Linked DNA regions of Arabidopsis thaliana. The protein of the gene in region 3 purifies or fractionates together with the protein of the main gene of each other region. This does not show direct contact. Each region holds a gene or a part of one and is shown on either strand. Other genes may lie near its edges.

Evidence for each region.
Region 1: the proteins of CRT3 (region 3) and ALPHA-SNAP1 fractionate together in Arabidopsis thaliana (co-fractionation; one large-scale study listed by BioGRID). This does not show direct contact.
Region 2: the proteins of CRT3 (region 3) and SCPL34 fractionate together in Arabidopsis thaliana (co-fractionation; one large-scale study listed by BioGRID). This does not show direct contact.
Region 4: the proteins of CRT3 (region 3) and ALPHA-SNAP2 fractionate together in Arabidopsis thaliana (co-fractionation; one large-scale study listed by BioGRID). This does not show direct contact.

What each region holds. Positions count from the first base shown.
Region 1 is NC_003074.8:20,928,988-20,933,369, reverse strand, and holds ALPHA-SNAP1 (alpha-soluble NSF attachment protein 1), read right to left. Parts: upstream 2,814-4,382; coding exon 2,405-2,813; intron 2,111-2,404; coding exon 2,010-2,110; intron 1,560-2,009; coding exon 1,408-1,559; intron 1,387-1,407; exon of another isoform or gene 1,169-1,386; coding exon 1,018-1,168; intron 921-1,017; coding exon 873-920; intron 786-872; coding exon 501-785; downstream 1-500. Other genes in the region: AT3G56460 (GroES-like zinc-binding alcohol dehydrogenase family protein), read left to right, coding at 28-171, 246-341.
Region 2 is NC_003076.8:7,808,982-7,815,615, forward strand, and holds SCPL34 (serine carboxypeptidase-like 34), read left to right. Parts: upstream 1-1,663; 5' UTR 1,664-1,910; coding exon 1,911-2,217; intron 2,218-2,628; exon of another isoform or gene 2,629-2,643; coding exon of another isoform or gene 2,644-2,662; intron 2,663-3,011; exon of another isoform or gene 3,012-3,636; coding exon of another isoform or gene 3,637-3,658; coding exon 3,659-3,769; intron 3,770-3,865; coding exon 3,866-3,961; intron 3,962-4,051; coding exon 4,052-4,144; intron 4,145-4,255; coding exon 4,256-4,344; intron 4,345-4,439; coding exon 4,440-4,757; intron 4,758-4,840; coding exon 4,841-4,977; intron 4,978-5,311; coding exon 5,312-5,404; intron 5,405-5,491; coding exon 5,492-5,597; coding exon of another isoform or gene 5,598-5,627; exon of another isoform or gene 5,628-5,706; coding exon 5,707-5,856; 3' UTR 5,857-6,105; downstream 6,106-6,634. Other genes in the region: AT5G23200 (C5orf35), read left to right, coding at 1-7; AT5G23212 (Defensin-like (DEFL) family protein), read right to left, coding at 6,424-6,578. UniProt on the Arabidopsis thaliana protein: Probable carboxypeptidase.
Region 3 is NC_003070.9:2,667,281-2,673,862, reverse strand, and holds CRT3 (calreticulin 3), read left to right. Parts: upstream 1-1,905; 5' UTR 1,906-2,062; coding exon 2,063-2,174; intron 2,175-2,466; coding exon 2,467-2,574; intron 2,575-3,063; coding exon 3,064-3,256; intron 3,257-3,445; coding exon 3,446-3,704; intron 3,705-3,984; coding exon 3,985-4,041; intron 4,042-4,167; coding exon 4,168-4,215; intron 4,216-4,402; coding exon 4,403-4,489; intron 4,490-4,579; coding exon 4,580-4,637; intron 4,638-4,729; coding exon 4,730-4,797; intron 4,798-5,071; coding exon 5,072-5,167; intron 5,168-5,338; coding exon 5,339-5,395; intron 5,396-5,488; coding exon 5,489-5,575; intron 5,576-5,695; coding exon 5,696-5,728; intron 5,729-5,843; coding exon 5,844-5,855; 3' UTR 5,856-6,038; downstream 6,039-6,582. Other genes in the region: HDA08 (histone deacetylase 8), read right to left, coding at 356-942, 1,093-1,336. UniProt on the Arabidopsis thaliana protein: Molecular calcium-binding chaperone promoting folding, oligomeric assembly and quality control in the ER via the calreticulin/calnexin cycle.
Region 4 is NC_003074.8:20,845,167-20,850,568, reverse strand, and holds ALPHA-SNAP2 (alpha-soluble NSF attachment protein 2), read left to right. Parts: upstream 1-1,873; 5' UTR 1,874-2,212; coding exon 2,213-2,357; intron 2,358-2,809; coding exon 2,810-2,859; intron 2,860-2,945; coding exon 2,946-3,018; intron 3,019-3,113; coding exon 3,114-3,193; intron 3,194-3,424; coding exon 3,425-3,576; intron 3,577-3,806; coding exon 3,807-3,966; intron 3,967-4,063; coding exon 4,064-4,111; intron 4,112-4,199; coding exon 4,200-4,280; intron 4,281-4,369; coding exon 4,370-4,450; 3' UTR 4,451-4,895; downstream 4,896-5,402. Other genes in the region: AT3G56200 (Transmembrane amino acid transporter family protein), read right to left, coding at 1-14, 119-482; AT3G56180 (LURP-one-like protein (DUF567)), read right to left, coding at 5,021-5,155, 5,242-5,402.

The DNA.
Region 1 (4,382 bases), on a different chromosome or scaffold from region 3:
ATAAGTTGTAGTAACCAATTGGTGCAGAACTGGACGGTTCATGGTCTTTACTGGGGTAGCTACAGGATCCATCAGCCCAATGTCCTTGAAGATTCCATCAAAGAGTTATTGTCATGGCTTTCCCGAGGATTGATCACTATTCACATCTCTCATACCTATAGCCTCTCCCAGGTGAAAACATTAACTCATCTTCATGACATCAAAACTCAAAACATGTAATTAAACACTTACCGTTTTGATTACAGGCCAATCTTGCATTCGGGGACCTCAAAGACAGGAAGGCAATTGGAAAAGTGATGATTGCTCTCGACCACAAGACTGCCCTGTCTTCAAAACTATAGACTCTTTATGGCCGTAGGAGAAAACAGCTTATGTATTCTAGAAATAAGGTTATTGCAATGGCCATGTAAGCTGAACCATCTTGCATTTATATCTGGCATATAATCCACATTCTGATTTGAAATTTCAATAAACGTTATCGAATTGCAGTTTGATTTTCTCTAGAAATTAGTGTAGTTATAAATCCTTTTTGTATATACATTGTTCCAATCAAGAATACATTTTCCTTCAATCAAGTAAAGCTTGCATCCTCCTCCAGCTCCCTGGCCTTGAACTTCTCTTTTACCCTCAACAACATTGTTGTCATGATCAAGAACCAGACAGAGTTTACATCCAAATAGTTGCATGTGGTTTACTGCCCATACCAGTGGACTCACGCTATCAATTTCCTTGGAAACGTCTGTGAACTTTGCAATGTCTTCTTCATCGATAGCAGAAGCAAGGTCCTGTTCATGAGAATAAATGTACAACACTTAACATACTTTATGTAAGCTACTCCCCAATTTCTTACAACACCAGAGTTTAAACTTTACCGCTAAGAACTTGCATTCCCGTGTTCCTGAAAAAGTCGGATCCAGATCCTGCAAGAAAGTACAAGTTAGAACACATGTCATAGTTACTCAAAGGACCACGCCAGGATGCTGATGTTAAGGCTGTTTGCTGTGGAAGAAGAAGAACCTGATATTTCTCCAGTGCATTAGTGATGGAAACAACATCAGCTTTGCATAAGTGGCACATGCCAGCAGTGAGAAGATGGCCTTTAACTCCATACTTAAGCAACTTATTGTTGAGTGAATGGCGTGCCTGTGTCTTCATAAATCTGGATTGCCTTCTCATACCTATCAAAGATACAACAGCAAGCCTATTATCAATCAATCAATCCGCCCCAAAGTAGAGAAGGGGCTATAATCCATGTGCTCATGTGTAGAGAACAACAACATTATTCCAAACAATGTCAAATTTGTGGTTTGAAAATTCGATTTTAACATGGTCCCATCTCAGTACTGTAAGTACGTCAATACCAGAGGATGAGAAAGCCAAAAAAAGGTCAGGTGCCGAAAATCTTACTGCTCTAGCTGGGAAGCATATTGTGCAACCTTTAGATTGCACTGGTTTGCAGAGGTGGTCACTTCTTCTATTTGAAAGAATTCAGCTGCCGTTTCATAGTAAGCAATAGCTTGCTCGAACATCTCATCAGATTCATAATACTCAGCAATTTCCTGTCAAAAGTAAATGACAATGTACACATTAGTACAAATACAGAAAGTCAGTACCAAGCTTACTATATATACTGTAGAAAAAAAGAAACAAATCCGACAGGATCCAACATGCATAAACAACACGAACCATGGAGAAGATGCTGAAGAAGTGCCTCCCCCTCAATAAAACTATCTTCTCACTATCCGTACTAAAAGAGTAACAGTATCTAATTCATACTCAAAAGAGACATGTAGTACATTGTAATATCTTGCAGCCATGTTGAGCCTTACTATCTATCTCACAAAATATATTCGCCGCTCTCTCTAGACAAGATGCAGCCTCTGCATATAATAAGGTCATGGTTATATTTGGACGCGATAAACATGCATAGCGAAAGGAAAACACACAAGAGTTGATAATCAGTCCTGTAGTACATATATGTCAATTAAAATCTAAAAAGCTGTTGCTACATGATCCATACATTCGTCCATTATCATATATGTGTTTGCCAAAGAATTTGCCTTTAAGTGACAATCGGCAAGTTTTAGATAAGCTATTCCAGCTTGATCCCCTGAAGAATCACAAATCAAACACATAAGCAAGAAGATACTTATCAATGACTTTACTATAAGGCCAAAAACCATCATTATCGAGTAATCTAAATGTTGAGTATCCAATTTATAATTCCCACATATCAAAGAGGCCTAAAATCAACTTCTCACAACACCATGGAAGGATCACCACAATTGCTAAACCAAAGATCAATCAAAAGTCTCAAGTTTCACCTTTTCTTCCTCATCATCATCACAAATCAATCAGATGAAACAAAAATCAAGGCCGGCTGATTATTATTTATGGAAATTACATGATTTGGCAAGCTTATAGGAATCACGTGCTTTCTCGAGCAGATCAGCAGCATCCTCGTACTTAGTGTCGAATCTTCTCCGTCTGTTAAGCTTCTTCTCAGCTTTCTTCTGAAAGTAGTAGCAACTGCTTGAAGAAGAGAAAGTGATATCAAACAACAACAAGAGTTGGCGGCGAGCGATGGTAGCTGAAGCGGCTCGCGTGATGGTTCTCTGTTTTGAGTATTGCAGAGTTCCGATGAATGAGAGATGGGCTTCGTGTCTCCTTTTGGGCCTGAAACAGCTGCAGTGTTGTTGTGAGAGATTGAAGTCTCTGCTTGAGTTGGAGACTCTTGTTGTTTGATATCTTATCAAGTTCCTCAGCTCTATGAAAAGTGGGTAAAAAAAACCCTCACCTTTTACAAAAAACATGTACAAAACCCTCAACTTTTTTGGTGGGTTTTTAAACCCTTCCCTTTTTTTCTTTGATAACTCAATGCCCAGACCACACAGTGATCTAACTAGTCTACTGGGGCTAAGCCCGCGACCAGAGATTTTTAAGCATCCATTTAAGGGATTTTTTGGTGGGTTTTTAAACCCTTCCCTTTTAAAAAATAATAAAATAACACTTACTATTATTAAACCAACTAAACTATTATATTAAAACATAAAATAAAACAAGTTAGTTTGTAATTTATACTTTCCAAATTGGAGTTTTTGATATTTTTTCAGAATTTAGTTGTTGTTTTTTGACGATATAAAAAAATAAGTTTCAATTAGAATTTGTTATGTAAACTAAAATCAATTTATAGCTTAGCACATTTTATTTTATTTTACTTCATATGTTTTCTAACTTTTGAAGTTTTGGATTTAAAATGAAGAAAATTATTAACATAATTTTGTTCTAAAGTTGTGTGACTGAACAAAAAAAAAATTCTTAATATTTCTTTTCTTCTTGAACATATAAAACAAAGGTTTCGCATTACCAAAAAATTTCAGAATAAGAATTATTCAGCCTATCTTATCGTATTTCCAAAAAAGATCTCGAGAAGATCTCGGAGAATCTTAACAACAAATGAAAAGAAAATATATTATCATTATTTTGTGCAAAAGATTGCACTCCTCCTTCCTTTCCATCTTTATTACCTGATGCGTAAAGATATCTAATGGAAGAAGAGCTCTCGCCTGCTTCTATAAGACCTGTTTTACTAACAGGACAGTTTAGTATTTCAAGATGTTTTAATTCTTTGCATCCTTTACCAATTGCTTGGAGACCGTGATCCGTAACATTGGTAGCATACTCTAGTGTTATTTCAACAAATCTATATACAGAACAAGCACATGTATCACGGTCAGTTTATGTGCAACATCAAATATTCAATTAGAAATTTTTGATAAAACAAAATTGAAAATTCTCGTAAATGACGTAAAAGAAAAAAGAATAATAATGCAATCAAAACTAGCATTTACAAGCAAAAATTTCTAAAAGAATAATAATATAATTTGTGTTAATCACACCATAGAAAGTATTTTGAGCAAGGGGAATTAATAAAATCAATGCATCATTAAAATTGCTTAAATTTAATGCATCATTAACTATTATGTAAAAAAAAACCACATAAAATTTTTAATATATGTAAATTTTATATAAAAAAAAAAAGATTGCTTAAACCACAAGCTAGCGACTTGTGAGTTTAACAAAAAGTCGTAAAATCCAATGGAATCTGGTGACGACAAGGCACCTAATACTTTTTTTTTTTTTTTAACTCTGGCACCTAATACTTTTAAAGCATCTCCATTGCATAATTTTCTATATTGTCTCTATAAAATTAAAGTTACTAAATATTAATAATTAAATGTATAAGTCTTTAAATTAAATGGAGAAATCCGGTTCTGTAACCTTGAAATGACCATGTAAGCTGAACCATCTTGCATTTGTTATATCTGTCCTATAATCAACATTCTGATTTGAAATTTTAATAAACGTAATCGAATTGCAGT
Region 2 (6,634 bases), on a different chromosome or scaffold from region 3:
GAGCTAAATTTCTCTTTTATGTTTTAATGAAACTTGAAAGGCTCTGTTTCAAAACATGCTCCTCGGTTTTCTTTAGACTATTAGCGGGACGTCGTTTCGCTGATTGTGTCACTATTTTTGTTTTTCGATTATTTTTGGAAGACATTTTATTCTAATATTTTATGTTGTTCTGTTGTTACATACTATGGACGAAGAGCAACACACGACTCTGTGATGAAACCAGTGCTGCAACTGTAATAGGGAAATTACGTAATGCCAATGCAATTATAGAGTTCTCAATGGATGGTTGGAATGGAACAATGGTGATGATCTGTGTTGTTGAATGTGATAAATGACTTAATGATGGATTTGGTTTTGTAGTCAAAATTATTGAATTGAAGACGTTCAAAAGTTATCGGAAAATATGACTACCGAATAATTACCACAAAAGGAATAGCGAATTCAATAAAGTAGACATAAAATGCACAACTTCAACATAAACGATTATATGAAAACTATAATTGTATAATCTTATAACTCTATTATCTATAATCATTGTGAGTATATCAAATGTTGTTTAAACTCACTCTTGAACTATTTGATAACTTAAACATGTAATAATTATCTACGCAAAAAAAAGACATAGTAATTGAAAAAAAAGAGAGTAAATGTTTACATGTTTATGATCTTCGTAGAGAATCTTAGCTAGTTTCTTTTAAAACACGTTAGTCATATAATAATGCAAACAAAAAAATTTATAAATTTTTTGTTTGTAAACATTTCATATTGATCACACTGTAACATAAATGCCTCGTGACTTCTTAATGTATATAGGTATAATAGGAGAGTACATGTAGATGTAGATATACACTTCTATGACGTATATAAACAGAAACTGAATCTTTTTATTACGCAATCAAAGCCGTAACATTCTGTTTTGTTATATGACAGGTATAATTTACTTTGCACATACATCACAATTCACACATTATATTATATAAAAATATTTATGTAGATCGGTCGTTGCTAATTTCAAGGGGGAGGAACATGAAAGATTGAGAGAGAGAGAAGTAAAACAGTGTTTGGTCAAATCTCTCTTAAGAAATAATCTTATGAAATGAACCGTCACTTTCTTTGCTCTGCTCTGCTTTTTATTTGGATCCTTCTATTCCAATTCATTGACCAATCACTTCATTATCTCTAATTCTCTAACATTTTTTTTATATTATCCTTTTGATTTATATATCAAATTATTTCAATCATGATACAAAAACGATATTGGAGACATAGCACAAGTTGCGTCTGTCTGTACGTATTTTCTATTTATCTAGTATAGTCTAACAAAAAGAGAAATTGCCCATAAAAAGGGAAACTCAATTTCTAACAAACCTTTCTATTTTTATAAAGAGAATTTGCTACTATTATTACTGATATAAAAAGAAATAAAATTTCTTGCTTTCTATCATATTTGATATTTTTTGATGTCTTCGTCTTAAGGAAATGGTTACAAAGACAAGTATAATCATATAATTCAAATAGAAAACGATATTAAAGACAGATCACAAATTGCGTGTGTAGATATTTCACCAAGTGTTAACAAAAAGAGAAATTCATATAAAAAAAAATATTTATAAAACTGCAACTATTAATTTATTCAAACTAATTAAAAAGAAAGAGAAAAATCTTCCTATAAAAAGAAATGAATCTTTCTTTGTAATCAGAAAGAAATAAAATTCTTTTTACTTTTCCAGAATTTGATTTTTCTCATGTGTCTTATCTTATGAATATGGTTACCACCCAGTGAGACTACAGAGTGTTCTTATCTGTCTCTGAATCCCATTCTCTCTCTCACACAACATTATATAAGCTTACACAGTCACTTCACAATTTCCACAAATTCGATATATTAAACTATAATAAACTAAAAAGAAATGGGTTCTCATAGTGTTGAGTTCTCTGTTCTTGTCCTATTTCTTGTGTCCTTTCTTCTTGGCTCAACATCAGCAGAAAAGCTGTGCAGTGACAACGACGGCGACAACGGTTGTTTCCGGTCTAGGGTTTTGGCAGCGCAACGAGCTGATCGAGTGAAAGAGCTTCCGGGACAGCCGCCAGTGAAATTCCGGCAATACGCCGGTTATGTGACGGTTAATGAAACACATGGAAGAGCATTGTTCTATTGGTTCTTTGAAGCCACTCAGAATCCAAGCAAAAAACCTGTCCTCCTTTGGCTCAATGGAGGTAAGTTAAACTAACTCACATCCACTCATTTTTCTTCTATTACGTCTCATAGTTAAAAGATTAAAACCCACCAATAAAATAAGGTGTATCATGCTTTGTGTGCATTTCATCTACTTGATATTGATTTCGTAATAGATATTTGATCCTTGCGCAATCTTTATATTCGAATTTTGAAACTTTCATGAGTTGGGTTAGAAAAACAATTCCATTTAACAACATTACACGTAAAATAACAAAAAATTAACGTACGTATACTATATAAATAATATAATACAGCTGAAATAATTTTTAACGTGGATTAAAATAAACCATAAATAAATAGGTATGTATGTATCAGTCATTTGTATGCATGGAGACAAAAAAAGGTAACTTGGGGAGAATATTAGGTGAAGCTTCCTAATAGTAAGACGTATCTCATTTGGCACCATGTCAAAATCAATGAAACGTATGTGGTTAGTAGTTATCATCATCACCATCATGATGAGTTTTGGTTGTGATTGGTTAAACTTTAAAGTAATTTTGGAAGCTTGTAATGATTCCACATGCTTGTTAGTTGTTACATGATCCTATATATGCTAGCTTTTATTCTCTTGTAGACTCATTTGCTATATATTTAAATTTACAATCCACATATCTCAACGTTCCATCATGCTTTGCTTTTAGATGGTTTTTTCTTTTAGATGTTTATGGTTTCTTACACATTGTTAATAGAAAAATACTTTATTTTTAAGTCATTTTATTCATAAAGAGCTAAACAACGTAAAAATCCAAATTTTGATGAAAATAGTCATAAAACAATAAAATCTTTGATAGATTATTGTAAGTCTTTTTGTTCAGCATAACACGCTTGGAAAATATTTTGGTGAAAGATTAAAGATAATTAGTTTGGTGGAAGATTAACCATATGCTTATATTTTATTACATATTAATTGAATTCATATGCATGTGATGGATATTAAAATTATTACCTCCACATATTTAGGCTTTAATAGGCTCCCGTGGGCTCATTGCGCCCTTTACTTTAATATGAAGGCACAGTAATTATTGACACAAAAGTTATGCATCTATCTATTATCATCATATCAAGAAAAGTCAATTCCATGAAACTTAAACGGTCCTTCGGTCCATAATTCATTATGATTCCAAACATTACACATGGTCCATGCACGTATATGCACGCCCTAAAAGTTTTCTCAAGTTTGTTTTTATTCGTGTGTTTCTTGATAAAGGCAAGTTTATCATTATAAGCAACAAAACCCTTAAATTAAATGGACCCTATGCAATAATAGTGAATAAAAAGTAACATAATGTAGAGTCAAATTAAAGGAGTAGGCCTATATCACCTAAGTTTAAATTTGGTGGTACTTCCAAATAATGTACATAGTAAAATGTATTTAGTTATAGTATATTGAGATTTCAATGGTGAAAAATGTGAATATAGGACCGGGATGTTCATCAATCGGATTCGGAGCTGCAGAAGAACTGGGACCATTCTTCCCACAAAACTCGAGTCAGCCTAAACTCAAGCTAAATCCATACAGCTGGAACAAAGGTATGGGTATACATAACTTTCTAAATATTCAAATATTATCTCTCTTTCTATCAATAATGTAACTGAATTAATGTTTTTGAAATGTGATTTACATAGCGGCGAATTTGTTATTCTTGGAATCGCCGGTTGGAGTTGGATTCTCCTATACTAACACAAGCCGTGATATAAAACAACTCGGCGACACTGTCACAGGTTCGGTTTGTTATATATAACATTAGTTTTATTAATGAAATATTAGTTTTGTTTGTAAGTTAATAATTAAAGTTTGTGTATGATGAACAGCGAGAGACTCGTACAACTTCCTTGTCAACTGGTTCAAGAGATTTCCCCAGTACAAGTCACACGACTTCTACATTGCCGGAGAAAGCTACGCCGGTAAATTATTATTATTATAAGTTAGAAATACACGACGTCGTTTCTACATGTGATTATTACAAAACCAAAAAACAAAACATTGAATATGTATGATTTGCGTGGAATTATTAGGCCATTACGTCCCACAACTTTCGGAGCTCATCTACAAAGAAAACAAGATTGCGTCCAAGAAAGATTTCATTAATCTCAAGGGTTTAATGGTCAGAGATTTTCTTAAATCAATCCAATAATTATTAGTTTCACTTGCACTATATCTAGTGTTTTGATGAAGACTTTGAATTGTATATATATACAGATAGGAAACGCGTTATTGGATGACGAAACGGATCAAAAGGGGATGATAGAATATGCATGGGATCACGCGGTGATATCAGATGCATTGTACGAGAAAGTGAACAAAAACTGCGATTTCAAACAAAAACTTGTGACCAAGGAATGCAACGACGCTTTAGATGAGTATTTTGATGTATACAAGATCCTTGACATGTACAGTCTGTACGCTCCAAAGTGTGTCCCCACCTCCACGAACTCCTCTACTTCTCATTCAGTCGCCGGAAACCGCCCCCTACCCGCATTCCGAAGCATTCTACGACCCCGTCTCATCTCTCACAATGTAAGTAATTCGTCTTTTTAATCACTTAGAAAAAATTCTTTCGTAACCAATTTGACTAACCGGTTATAATTGATTATATACAGGAAGGATGGAGGAGGATGGCCGCCGGGTACGATCCATGTGCATCAGAGTATACAGAAAAATATATGAACAGAAAAGATGTTCAGGAGGCACTTCACGCTAATGTCACCAACATCTCTTACCCTTGGACTCATTGCAGGTATTATTACGACGTTCAATCTTATTTTCGGTTAGGTTTTCCAGATTTTGTTTTTCATGAAATATAAAAAGCACATATAGTTTGGTTTGGTCTTTTTTAGCAATATATGTTAACGTTTTAGGATTCTAAGGTATATATTGAGGAAGCAGTTTTTTTTTTCCGGTTGTTTGGTTATGGTTTGTTCGAATATAGGCAAAGGAAATTGAATCAGTTTATGAATTGTCACATGCACCTACATATTAATACTCTTACTATCATAGTTTAACCAAAAGCGTGTGTGGTAAATGATTGATAGATAGGAACTTAAACCATATGCATGGTTTACTATGTGCAGTGACACTGTCTCATTCTGGTCTGACGCTCCCGCTTCTATGCTTCCAACCTTAAGAACACTTGTTTCAGCGGGATTACGCGTATGGGTTTTCAGGTATAACACCTAATCCTTGGCATTTTTATGTAAGAATTAACTGAAAACGAGCGATAACCGTTTTAAATTGTTTGGTAAACTTAATAGTGGGGATACAGACGGGCGAATCCCCGTGACCGCAACCAGATACTCACTAAAGAAGCTAGGTCTTAAGATAGTCCAAGACTGGACACCTTGGTACACCAAACTACAGGTTAATTTGGTTCCAAGTTACAAACTTTAACTTTTCTTCCAAGTAAGTGTGTGATTGACTCTAAAGATATATATATATATATATATATTTTTCTTTCACTTGCCGTTAGGTCGGAGGGTGGACGGTGGAGTATGACGGTTTAATGTTTGTGACGGTAAGAGGAGCGGGACACCAGGTTCCGACATTTAAACCTAGAGAAGCTCTTCAGCTCATTCATCATTTTCTAGGCAATAAGAAACTTCCTACTTTTCCCTTTTGATATTTTCTCTACCCACAGATTTTATGATCTTTATATAATTCTTAAAACAATAATAAACAGATTTGAGCAAAATAGGCCATTATATTAGAATTGTACAAATGTTTTATCGCGTTTTACATGTTTTCTCGTGTTACAGTGACCTCTAAAACTCTCATCTCTTGGATAATTCTTTAACAATATATAGTCATCCAATGATCCAAACAACACAAATTTTAGCTAGGCTTACTTCTATATAAGTTGGAAGAAAATTTTAGATGTCAATAATATGATAATTATGAAAGAGATGATGATGAAATTTAGAAAATATTGTAAATTCAGTGTTACACATATTTCATATTCAACGTCAAATACATTCGCCAAATAAATGTACATGGCTCTTATATGATTCTCTCTTCTCTTTGAGTTTTCTTCATTGTTATGGGTATGACAACAAATATCATTATATTTATTTCGTTTTAAGACAAGATTATGAAAGAAAAAAAAAATTGTTAATCAATAGAATTCAGATGTATCTTTTTTTGATATAACTTTTTTAATAAGTCAATAGTAAACTAAATTTGAATAGAATCACGATAAAATACAACAACATTGAAACGAATCTCTGCCAGGTACACATATAGCATTGTTAAACGGTGGTTTGTTCACTCCACATGAGTCATAGCAATCTTCTTTCTTATGACACGGTCCTTTGAATTCACAATCTGAGGAAGCATCCATAATTCCTGTTGAATTCATCACAATTTAAAAATATTTACTTGTTAAGTTACCATCATAGATA
Region 3 (6,582 bases):
AATGCAAACTGAAGCAAAGAATCCAAAGATATAATCTTATGGTGAATTCTCGAGCACCCTAGACTCTTCCAATGCAAAACCAATACCCAAATCCCTAGACAACCCATTCCTCCTTTGGTCATCTTCCATTTATACTGATTCGTTTATCTTTTGCTGACTGAATATTAGAGAGATGACATGACTAATGCAACAGCTGCACTCTTCTAACTACTTATGCAGACTTATCACAGCAGAGCCATATTGGAGCAGCATACATAAGCGATTTACTTGTAACCAAAACAATAATTGCGAACAAAACCCTGAGTAAGTGCTCAGTCAGATAGTCTACACGTATTTGGGCAAAGAAAGAACTTACAGCGCTAGAGTCTTGACCAACAACGAGAACAACCATATCGGGTCCAAACCTTCTAACTGCAGGAACCACCAGCTCATTCATGGCATATTCATATCCCCGGTCACCCGTGCCATTCGGTAAAGGGACATTCAGATTGTAACCCAATCCCACGTCTTCACCAAGTTCATCAATCGACCCTTTCTGCGGGTGGGACGATCCCCATGATCCATGGTTCATATGGAGTGACACCGTAAGAACCTTATCAGATGTATAAAACCCTTCAGCTGTGCCATTTCCATAATGTACATCGATGTCAATAACCGCAACTCGGGAACAAGAACCCGAATTCAATGCCAGCTTGACAGCAAGAGCAGCGTTGTTGAGGAAGCAATACCCATCAGCCTGAGTAGGCTGTGAGTGGTGACCTGGTGGGCGTACCAGAGCATATGCAATTTTCCCATGGCAATCAAGAATATGTTGCATTGCTGAAAGAGTTGTTCCAGCTGCAAGAAGAGCAGCTTCCCACGAGCCTGGGCTCATGAAAGTACCTGCGGCAATTTCACACCTTTCTCCTGATTTATCTGCCTCCACTAGCTTCTCAATGTACTCTGTACAAGGATCACAATGGATTACATGAGAAAGCAATAATCACAAATCAAAGTCGAATTTTTTAAGGTTAAGATTTGTCAAAACTACCAAATTCAGAAACAGGTTTTTATAAAAGTTCCTTCTTTTCTGCGAACCTTAGAGCGATGTACCTGAAGTGTGAAACATTAGAAGCTCCGAAACGATTGCTGGAAGACCGGTAAACCAATTGACATGAGGAGCGATGGGACCGCGTCGGAGAATCGAAAGCATGTTCCTGACGCGATCGGCGTTCTCCGGGTGCTTCTCCAATACGTCGAGGAATCCAGGGTCGTATCCAGTGTCGAAGACGCCTTCTACGGCGTCGTGTCGGAGCATTCCTTCGTGCCAGAAGACGTCTACGCGATTGGTAACCATCGGAGAAGCCGGCGACGAAGATAGGCTTGAGCCGTCGTCGGAGGCCAACGGTGGTGTAATAATGGAGGATGCTCACGCGCAACACACGTGTTCTCTAACCATTGAGATAACAAGGGGTATAAATGTCTTTTCCAAATAAACTCAAGGATTAAGTTAATTTCGGAGAAGAGAAATTTCGTGCTTATTGGGCCTGGACTGAACATGCTGTTAATGACATGTTGTACTGTTTTAGATTGGAGCTTTTTGGATTTCGTTATCCCACATTTAATTATTGTAGAACCTTTATTTTTTGACTACAAAAAAAATATATTCTTCGCTCTCATAAAATAAAGAAAATATAATTGAATTTATTTATGATTCATATTCGTATAAAAAACATTTGGCTACAAGTATCATGTACAAAACATTCGGCTAGATTTAGTTAGAACAAGATTTGTTATAAATCATAATGGCAATATAAGAGATTAGAGCAAGAAACATAGCAATTATTATTTGAGACCAGTTTTGCCCCATTTCTTACGATGATAAACGACTTTGAATATTCTTCAGTCCACTCCACACTGCGACGACGACTTGAGAAAAACAACATAGAGAAAAAAAGAAAAATCCAAACCTTAGGGGCAATATTGTAACTAAACCAAACGACACTGAGTCAACATTCTGCTTTGCTATAAAGGCCCAAGCACAATTTTTCAGTAACCATGATGAAGTGAGAAATTCTGAAAAATGGGATTACCTCAAAATAAGCTCAGTTTTTTCTGCTTCTTCTTCCTCGTCTCTGTACTAACTCTTGCCCCATTGGCTTTCTCCGAGATCTTCTTAGAGGAGCATTTCGAAGGTGAAGTATATATATAAACACTCTTCTCTCTTTTTTTTCCTTTTCTGGGAAACAAAACAACGATTTGTTATTTTTGTTTCCTTTTTGAATATATTGCTATGATTAGTAAGTAGTAACTTTCCTTGGTAGATTTTGATTTGATTAGGATAGTGAATCCGAATCCATCCTTCACTAGAATCTTCTATTATAGGCTTTGCTTTTCCTATTCTGGTTAATATAACGATTCTATGGTTCTGGATTTTGGCTTTCTATTTATAGGTTTATGGAATTAACTTAGTAAGATTGTGTTCAGGTGGATGGAAAAGTAGGTGGGTCTTGTCTGATTGGAAAAGAAACGAAGGCAAAGCTGGAACCTTTAAGCACACTGCCGGTAAATGGCCCGGCGATCCTGACAATAAAGGTACTTCCTTTCGCCCACCTTTAAGCACACTGCAGAACTCCGTCTTTTTGGCGTTAAGGGTCTCACTTGATTTTCAGAATACGAGAATCTATATCACCATTCTCCCTGTGATCTTTGTTATGTTGCAGTGTTTTAGTTCTTTGATATGTTCTTGTTAGCTGCCACTTGTGTGTAGATCTTCAGCTCTTTTGTTATGTGGACTAAGACATGGAGTTCGCAAGTCTACTGCCTTTCGATATTTGAAGTTATCTTGAAGAAAATTAAATCTTTAATTGGTTATAATTAGGATTTCTATTTTAGTTCTTAGATATGTTTGTTTCAGCAGCAGGTTTGTGTGTAGATCTTGAGCTCTTTTGTTCTGTGATACAATTATGGATCGTCAAGTGTACTAGCTTTCGATCTCGAAAGTTAACTTGAGGAATATAGAATCTTTATTTGGTTTAACTTAGTATCTTTTTCTTTCTTTTTTGATTTTCTTGATGTGTTTAGGTATTCAGACTTATAATGATGCCAAGCATTATGCGATTTCTGCAAAGATTCCTGAGTTTAGCAACAAAAACCGGACTCTTGTTGTCCAGTACTCAGTCAAGATTGAACAAGACATTGAATGTGGTGGTGCTTACATTAAGCTCCTGTCTGGCTATGTTAACCAGAAGCAGTTTGGTGGTGATACTCCATACAGGTAATCATACATTAATGCTTTTTCAATGAACATCAGTTGATAGAATGTTATATTGCAATCTAAGTCAAGTTGCGTTGATTTAGTTAATCCAGTGAACTTTGATAAATGATTACATGTCCATGTTTTTTACAACAAAGTCGTCACATGGTGTTGTTGTGTTTGGGGATTCTCATTAGTTTTTCTATGCAGTCTAATGTTTGGACCAGATATATGCGGAACACAGACGAAGAAGCTTCATGTTATAGTTTCATATCAGGGACAGAATTATCCAATCAAAAAGGATTTGCAATGTGAAACAGACAAATTAAATCATTTCTACACATTTATTCTGCGTCCTGACGCTTCTTACAGCGTTCTGGTGGATAATAAAGAGAGAGAATTTGGCAGTATGTACACAGACTGGGACATCCTTCCTCCAAGGAAGATCAAGGTCAAGAATGCAAAGAAGGTAACTGTCTGGGTGCTTATAAGGTTTCATAGACTCTTTCTTAAATGCAATGTGAATTTCTGAACCAAACATTTGCAAGGTTGGATAACCTTTTTCTGAGATAGTTACACTTAGCTTTTAGCTATTATAATTTATGATGTATGACGAGGAAAATGGATTATGGTTTTGATCTGAGGTTATACTAAATTTTCATAGAAGAGCAAGATATGCAGTAAGCCAGTAACACTACATTTCTTTTAGCTTTCACCTTGATAGATTCTTAACAGTCTGTATTTTGCAGCCAGAGGACTGGGATGATAGAGAGTACATCGATGACCCCAACGATGTCAAACCCGAGGTAACTTTTTAGTAAACTTAGCAATATAGAAAATACAATTTGTATTGAAAGGAAGCTATTCAGTTCCCATTCTCTTAATTCTTAGTTTAATTCAGGCAACTGGCTCGTTCTTCCTTTTGTAACCAGGGTTTTGATTCTATTCCACGTGAAATTCCAGATCGTAAAGCTAAAGAGGTATGTACTGTTATATTAGATTCTTTAAATGATTGGTCGTTATTTTTTAGTCTCAGAGATCCATCATTCTTTCTTCATTCTATATCACTGCAAATTCTGACATTATGGCACTCATTCTTTTTTGGAACTCATTACTGTGTTATAGTCTGAAGCTTTGTGTCTTGTATCTCTCTCTCTACTTGTTTAGCCCGAGGACTGGGACGAGGAAGAAAATGGTCTCTGGGAACCTCCAAAGATCCCAAATTCTGCGTACAAAGGTCCTTGGAAAGCAAAGGTTATTATATGACAGTCATCAATGGTTATATAGATTACTGTTTTTTCTTCTTCTCCATTTGACATTTCTCAAAACATTATTTTCCTACAGAGAATCAAGAACCCGAACTACAAGGGAAAATGGAAGAACCCATGGATAGATAATCCAGGCATGTTTCTACCTATTTAATGTGTATGTTCATTTTGAGCTGGATTTCTTCTTGTTATAAATACTAAGCTTGAGCTTCTCGGTTTTGCACAGAATTTGAAGATGATCCAGATCTTTACGTTCTGAAGTCTATCAAATATGCAGGCATTGAAGTATGGCAGGTAAGTTCTAGAGCTTTCTTGAATTCCATCAAATATTAACTTTTATAATCACTACATCATCACCAGATATGGATGAATATTTATATAATATTCACTGCCAATTAGTTCTTTTAACATATATATGCTGCTTGTACATATAGGTCATCCAAATTTTTAGGGTTGAAAACAAAACCAAAAGAAACAGAAAAGATCTGATAAAAAGTCTTCATTTTAGACGAGGGATCAAACTTATCTAGTGCATCTGAATGAAAAAAAAATGATCTTAACACTGCAGGTGAAGGCTGGCTCAATCTTTGACAATATATTGATCTGCGATGACCCGGCATATGCAAGAAGCATCGTGGATGACTATTTTGCCCAACACAGGGAGGTAGATTTCCAAGTCTTTGTATATCTTTTTGCTTCTTTTTGGATAAAATCAAAGAAGTTTTTTGATCTTGCAAGTGTGTAGTAATTGCAAATGGATTTTCTGCATGCTATTATATACGAAAATGTCTTATTAGTGAATTTGATATGCTATATACTTGGCCATATGCACCAGTCTGAGAAGGAGTTATTTGCGGAAGCAGAGAAAGAAAGAAAAGCTAGAGAAGATGAGGTTTGTAGTTCACAAAAAAGTTCTTGTTCTCTTTTCAAGTCTTCTCTGTATATCCTAGTTAACGAGCATGGCCATACAAATCAACGTTTACAGGAAGCTCGGATAGCACGGGAAGAAGGTGAACGCAGGCGGAAAGAAAGGGACCACCGGTATGGAGACAGGAGGAGGCGTTACAAACGGGTAAGTACTTATTTGAGTCCAAATGAATTATAACCTTCTCAACTCTGTTTTATCTGGAAACCAAGTGAGTGAATATTGTTGGAAATGGTTTGTTTTGTTTTGTTTTGTTTTGTTTTGCAGCCGAATCCACGTGATTATATGGATGATTACCATGTAAGTGTTCCTTCTATCTCAACCACTTTAAAAAGAATGGTTTATGCAGTTTAGTACTGAATCATCTTAACTGTTCTAAAAATGTAAGTTTGTTATGATTCTGAATTTCGTGTAGGACGAGCTATGAGGCGCAGAGTGGTGGGCATTTGGCAAAGCATTGGGGGAAATTATCTATATTTTGCTTTGAATGTGTGTTTGTAATTTCATAATTTGTAACCTTTTGTATTCATATTCTTATAATGTATTTTGGCATGAAAACTTGACTTGTTATTTTTCCCTTCCAATACAAAAATTCTAAAATTGGCAAGAACGACAAACTACCATGCAGTGATTTGTGAAGTTTGATAGTGGTGGTAATTTTAATTGTTTCACCACAGAAAATTTCTCTATATCCTGAAGAAGATAGCTGAGTTGAACTGAGAGGTTGGCGTTTCTTAGTGAAAATACAAAAAATAGAAATCTTTAGCTAGAAAGTGTGGTGTGGACTGATGGTAACCATGTTCATTTGGAGGAACTAATGTGAATATTAGCTAAAAGCATATTGTTGAGTGTTGACAAAATGACAACAGATAAATCGTCAAATACTACTCCACCTAGCTAATATTTTTTTTTAACTAATGTTAGAAAGCCACCTATTTGCATCCGTAATGATAAAAACTAAAAAAATATAAGATTATAAGAGTGATACATTTTGTGTGAAAACGTAAACGAAAGTCAAAAGAAAGAAAAACGAAAGAATTTTAAATGCGTTTTATGTTGGGCACAAATGTTGTGACTTGTGTGTACCTTTTCCCACTTTAAATGTACGGCTGATAATCACATCAGTGGCGACTTTAGGAAATAGAAAATTCGCA
Region 4 (5,402 bases), on a different chromosome or scaffold from region 3:
AGAAAGCACATCTCCTGAGAGAGTAAACACATACAAATCCAAACTCAGCCAATCTGTTCTTAAGCTCAAATAGTAGCTGAGACCTCTACACTTAGATGATTAGATCAAATTACTTTACCTATAATAATCGAAAATATAATCATACAACCAAAAGTAGCAACCATCGTAGCAATCTGTACAGCGATGGATCCTGTTTTACCAAACGACTCTTTCATAACTCCGGCGTAAGTAGTTGATTCTCCGGCGAGAGTTGATTTCATCAGAAATCCAACGGAAATTGTGGAAAGCCAAGCTATGATCGTGATAATCAAAAACGCTGGAACTATTCCAAGAACTTTAAACGCCGCCGGCATCGACATTATTCCGGCTCCGATTATACTCGTTGACACGTTGAAAACGATGCCGGAGGTTGATGATCCATGGTTCTCAGACGAAGAAGGTTCTTGCTTCGGCAAGAGATGAGTTTTGATCTGTGGTGTCATTTTTCTAACCGCCGGAGAAACGTAAGAATTTGCCGGCGGGAAGAAGCTTTCCTTTTTTGTAGTTGTTATGAGGAATCGGCTTCATATAGCCACACGGTTAATAGCGAAAAGTACATAAATACCCTTTGAAGATTGGGGATATATGCCTTGACCGTTTGGGGCAAAATCGAGAAAATGATATTTGACCATAGGTAAACCTGACAGGCTGGGCAAATCATGTCAGTGAGATCACCAAATGATCTTTCGTCACGTACTTAAAAACATCACGAAAATAATAATTTTGTTCAAGAGAGGAAATTACAGCTAAAATATGATGAACAATCATAATCATATTATAGACAGAAGTGAATTATTAACAAAAAAACCCCAAAGAATTATACAAAAAAATCCAAAATAAAATGGGTCCGTCCAACACTAATGAATGTGTGCACTTGGATTTCTTCACGAAGAATGTATCTAGACGAAAAAGTGGCCAAATGTGTATCATCGCTTCTCATCTCATATAAGTTGTCCAAAAAAGAAAAAAACTCCTAAATAATTTAAAATTTTCGTGGATATAATAAAATCCAATATATAATCATATCATTGGCGGCCTCAAAGATGGCTCACGTGTAATAAACTAACTTTAGAGCAGACGGTTCGAGACTTTTCATCAAGAAAACGAGAGGGCAGCGAATGCGGAATGTCGAATGAATAATTGAAAACGTGATAAACGAAACAATATAAGAATAATTAAACACTGTCTTCTAAAGTTATTTTTATTTAATCATTTCATATGAATCATATTGAAGTTACTCAGTTAACATTATAGAATGTGACTGATAGCAACATTAATATTGCCGCAGAAATCCCTCGTTGCAAAGTTACAGTTTATTTTAGATCATCTCTGTGTGTAAAGGAGAAGCTTCAGTCAACAACAACAGAGCTTGGGTCAAACTCTCTGCTCAGCTCAGAGTCTCCCAAACAGAATGCTATGGGCCAAGACACTAAGCCCAATACCATTCAACATGTCGAGAAGCCCAACAACAGAAGATTACCTCTGCAACTCACAAAAGACAAAAAAATTACCGATTACCCATGAAATGATTTGCTAAAAAATTGAACATTTCATAGATTTGTAACGGTTGTTATTTAGCCATTGTTGTTATTCATGTGTTTGATATTAAAACCGATATTGTTGTTACTCATGTGTTTGATATTAAAACATACTAGGTTTTTACCAGTTTGTGCATTTTGGAACATAGGTTTGTTTAGTGGAAACTGTCAGCAATATTTGTCGTGATTTGAGAACTATAATAATGGCTAATGAAGAATGTAGAAGGACGAGCAGATATAACAGGAAATCGTTTTACTTGATAATTCATGTAAGCTTTTCTTCAATCCCAACTGATAAACCTGATCCCATATTTTCTAAGCTTGGTTAAAGCGACCCAATAACAAAGTACGGAAAAACTTTTGATTGGGCTAACTTGGGCTTTTCAAAACAAAGCCCATATTTTAAATAGACAAATTTGGCCCACTTTAGTCGGTTGAAAAATCTTTTCCCCTATCGAAGCGTGTCTCTGATTTTTCGCTCTCGATCGATTCTCGTCTCTCTCTCTTTCATCGCAGCGAATAATCCAAATCGAAAGCAATTTCTCTCGACGAAGAAAAGAGAAGCAATCGGAGTCTGTGGAGGTAAAGAAGTACACGATCAAATTTCAAGTCAGAGTTTCGGGGAAAAAAAAGGAATGGGGGATCATCTGGTGAGAGCTGAGGAATTCGAGAAGAAAGCTGAGAAAAAGCTCAATGGATGGGGAATATTCGGATCTAAGTACGAGGATGCTGCTGATCTGCTCGAAAAAGCAGCTAATTCCTATAAGCTCGCCAAATCATGTAATTTCCATAAATAAAATTTCTTTGCTTTTGATTATTGTTTCATCGGATTGGTGTCGTGTTTTTTTTTATTGTTGTTCTTTGTGATGATGAGGAAGAAAAAAAAGGTGAAATTTGAAACGTTTGATCTTAGGTTTATCAGTTGCGGTGATTTGTCTATGGTCATGTGAGAAGTAGAATTAGTATCTGGGTTTATATTAGGTCTATTTTGATCTGTAAGAAATTTATGGTTGATAATTTCATACGAAAACATTTTAAATCGGAGATTCATCATTCTGATTCCTTGATATTGGTTTCTGGCCTTCTAGCAAGTCATTGATAAGTGGCACAATTATAGTACCTAATTTGGGTTCTATTTGGCTGAGTTTAATAGGTTTCATGTTCTTTTCTGATATTTGTTTAATTCTCCAACGCTATCTTCTTACTTATGTGTTGCATTTGTGATTGTTCAGGGGATCAAGCTGGAAAAGCTTATCTAAAACTTGCCGACTGTCACTTAAAGGTTAATTCTTTGGCAACACATATATATGATACTGGACTAATGTGTGGATTGTTTGATAACATTGATTTGCATGATTGCATCTGCAGTCAGATAGCAAACATGATGCTGCTAACGCCTATGCTGAGGCTGCTAAATGCTACAAGAAAGTTGACACTAATGGTATGTATAAAGCTACTTTTGTAATTGTCATCTCTGTAATGCAAGAGTGATTATGAATTCTTATGTGTTTTCATGCGTCCTAATATTATATGCAGAGGCTGCGTCTTGCCTAGAGCGAGCGGTGAATATATTTTGTGAGATAGGAAGGCTCAACATGGCTGCAAGATATTACAAGGTACCACTTGTCTCTTTTGAGCATGAATTAGATATTATTCTTTTAGTACGGATACTGAGAAGATAGTTTTATTGGGGCACTTCTTCTGTATTTCCTCCATGGTTCCTGTTTCTTTATGCATGTTCAGTCGGATTCAGATTGTCTTTTTCCTTTTCTAAACTAAAGTAAGCATGGTGCTGACTTGCTGTATTTGGACTAATTTGTACATTAATGGTTTTTTACTTTTGACAGGAAATTGCTGAGTATTATGAATCTGATCAGAAGTTCGAGCAGGCTATTGCTTACTTTGAAAAGGCAGCTGAATTCTTTCAGAATGAAGAAGTGACCACTTCTGCAAACCAGTGCAATCTAAAGGTTGCGCAATATGCCGCCCAGCTGGAGCAGTAAGATTTTCGGCACATTACCTTTCTTTTTGCTTTCTCATCCCTTAGCATTGAAGTGCTTATAGTACTCAGATGGAACCCTGTTAAAATCGAATTGTCAATCCACAAACTTGTCATTGTATGGAATTGTGATGTTCTCTATGCAGTATGCATGAGCACAGCAATTATAGCCTTTTCTCTACTTTGGGACCGATTGATTGATAATAGGCTTGTTGTTGTATCTTTGGTAGGTATGAGAAGGCAATCAAGATTTATGAAGACATAGCACGCCATTCACTCAACAATAACTTGCTCAAGTATGGAGTTAAGGGCCATCTTCTCACTGCTGGCATGTGCCACTTATGCAAAGCCGATGTTGTTTCCATCACTAACGCTCTGGAGAAGTATCAGGTTCTTCTTCTTCCACAACAAACACCCGTAACATAAACATTCTGGTGTGGTCCTTTGAGCAACTATGACATGTTTTCTAACTTCTACTTTCTTGCAGGATCTGGATCCAACTTTTACTGGAACACGGGAATGCAAGTTCTTAGCGGTAAAGTTTAAACTTCCGTTTTTTCAAGAAGTTGTGGAGCAGCTTACATAAAGTATGTTAAGTTTTGTACATTTATTCATATGAACAGGACCTTGCTTCTGCTATCGATGAAGAAGACATCGCAAAGTTCACAGATGTTGTCAAGGAGTTTGATAGCATGACTCCACTGGTATGGGCTGTAAACCATATACAGCTATTTGAATAAAATCTCTCTTTAACTCTACCTGGTTCTTGATCATGGAATTGGTGTTAATGCAGGATTCATGGAAGACAACCATGTTGTTGAGGGTGAAGGAGAAGCTCAAGGCCAAGGAGCTAGAGGAGGATGACCTTACATAGACATATTTATCCAGAGCGTTGCTTTTTATTCATTCCCGGGTTGTATTGTCACTATGTCCGTTACTTCATGTCCGACTCTTCTTTGATTTTATTGTGTCTGGTTTTGAGTTTTAAAGTTTCTTAAGAGGTTTGGTCAAATTGGGTTTGTTTGGTATCGACGTCTACAATTGTTCTCTGCGTCTCGTCACTTCATTTATGGGAACTACTCAAGTCTGGAGTTTTTTTTATATTGGTTAAACATCTGTGGAGAGTCTTCTTCGTTCAGCGATTATTTGATGCATCGAGAGGATCATGTCTCGATTATTTGTTTGCTTTTACGTCTACATCTATCTAATAAACGTGTGCTTTTTCTTCCTGTTAACGACAATTTGTAGTGTTTTGATTCATGTTTTCTTGCTCTATATATCTTTGATTGCACGCTTTTATGAAAAATAAACATTTGGGCCAGCAAGATTGCACATTACATGGAAAAAATATTCTTACATACATATATCTTGAGAAATGAACACATATACACCAATAAATTGTGAAAGGAACCACTAAACAAAGAGATTGAGGACAGACAATATACTAACACCAATTCTCGTTGTCATCGACCATGACAAGCAAAGCAATGATAAAAGCATAATCAACCTCTGGATTTACTCTCACCTTAAAGTTATATTTCCCTTTGCAGAAACTTCCCCATGTAAACTTATGTGTTACCTGCAATATAAGGATTTCAATCCTTCACCAATGTATAAAAATTGCAAATTTCTTAATAAGTATGGGTTTTTAACTTTTACCCCTACCCCGGCGATGAGAGCATCCGCTTTGAAAACTTTGAATGAGATATTGGAGTATCCTCCTGAAGCATGAAAATCACAAGTGTTTGTCTTCTTGACATTGTTGTTCTCCGGCAAGAAAACATCCACGGATGTTTTCAGTGAAACCGCTTGAGATTGTTGTACCG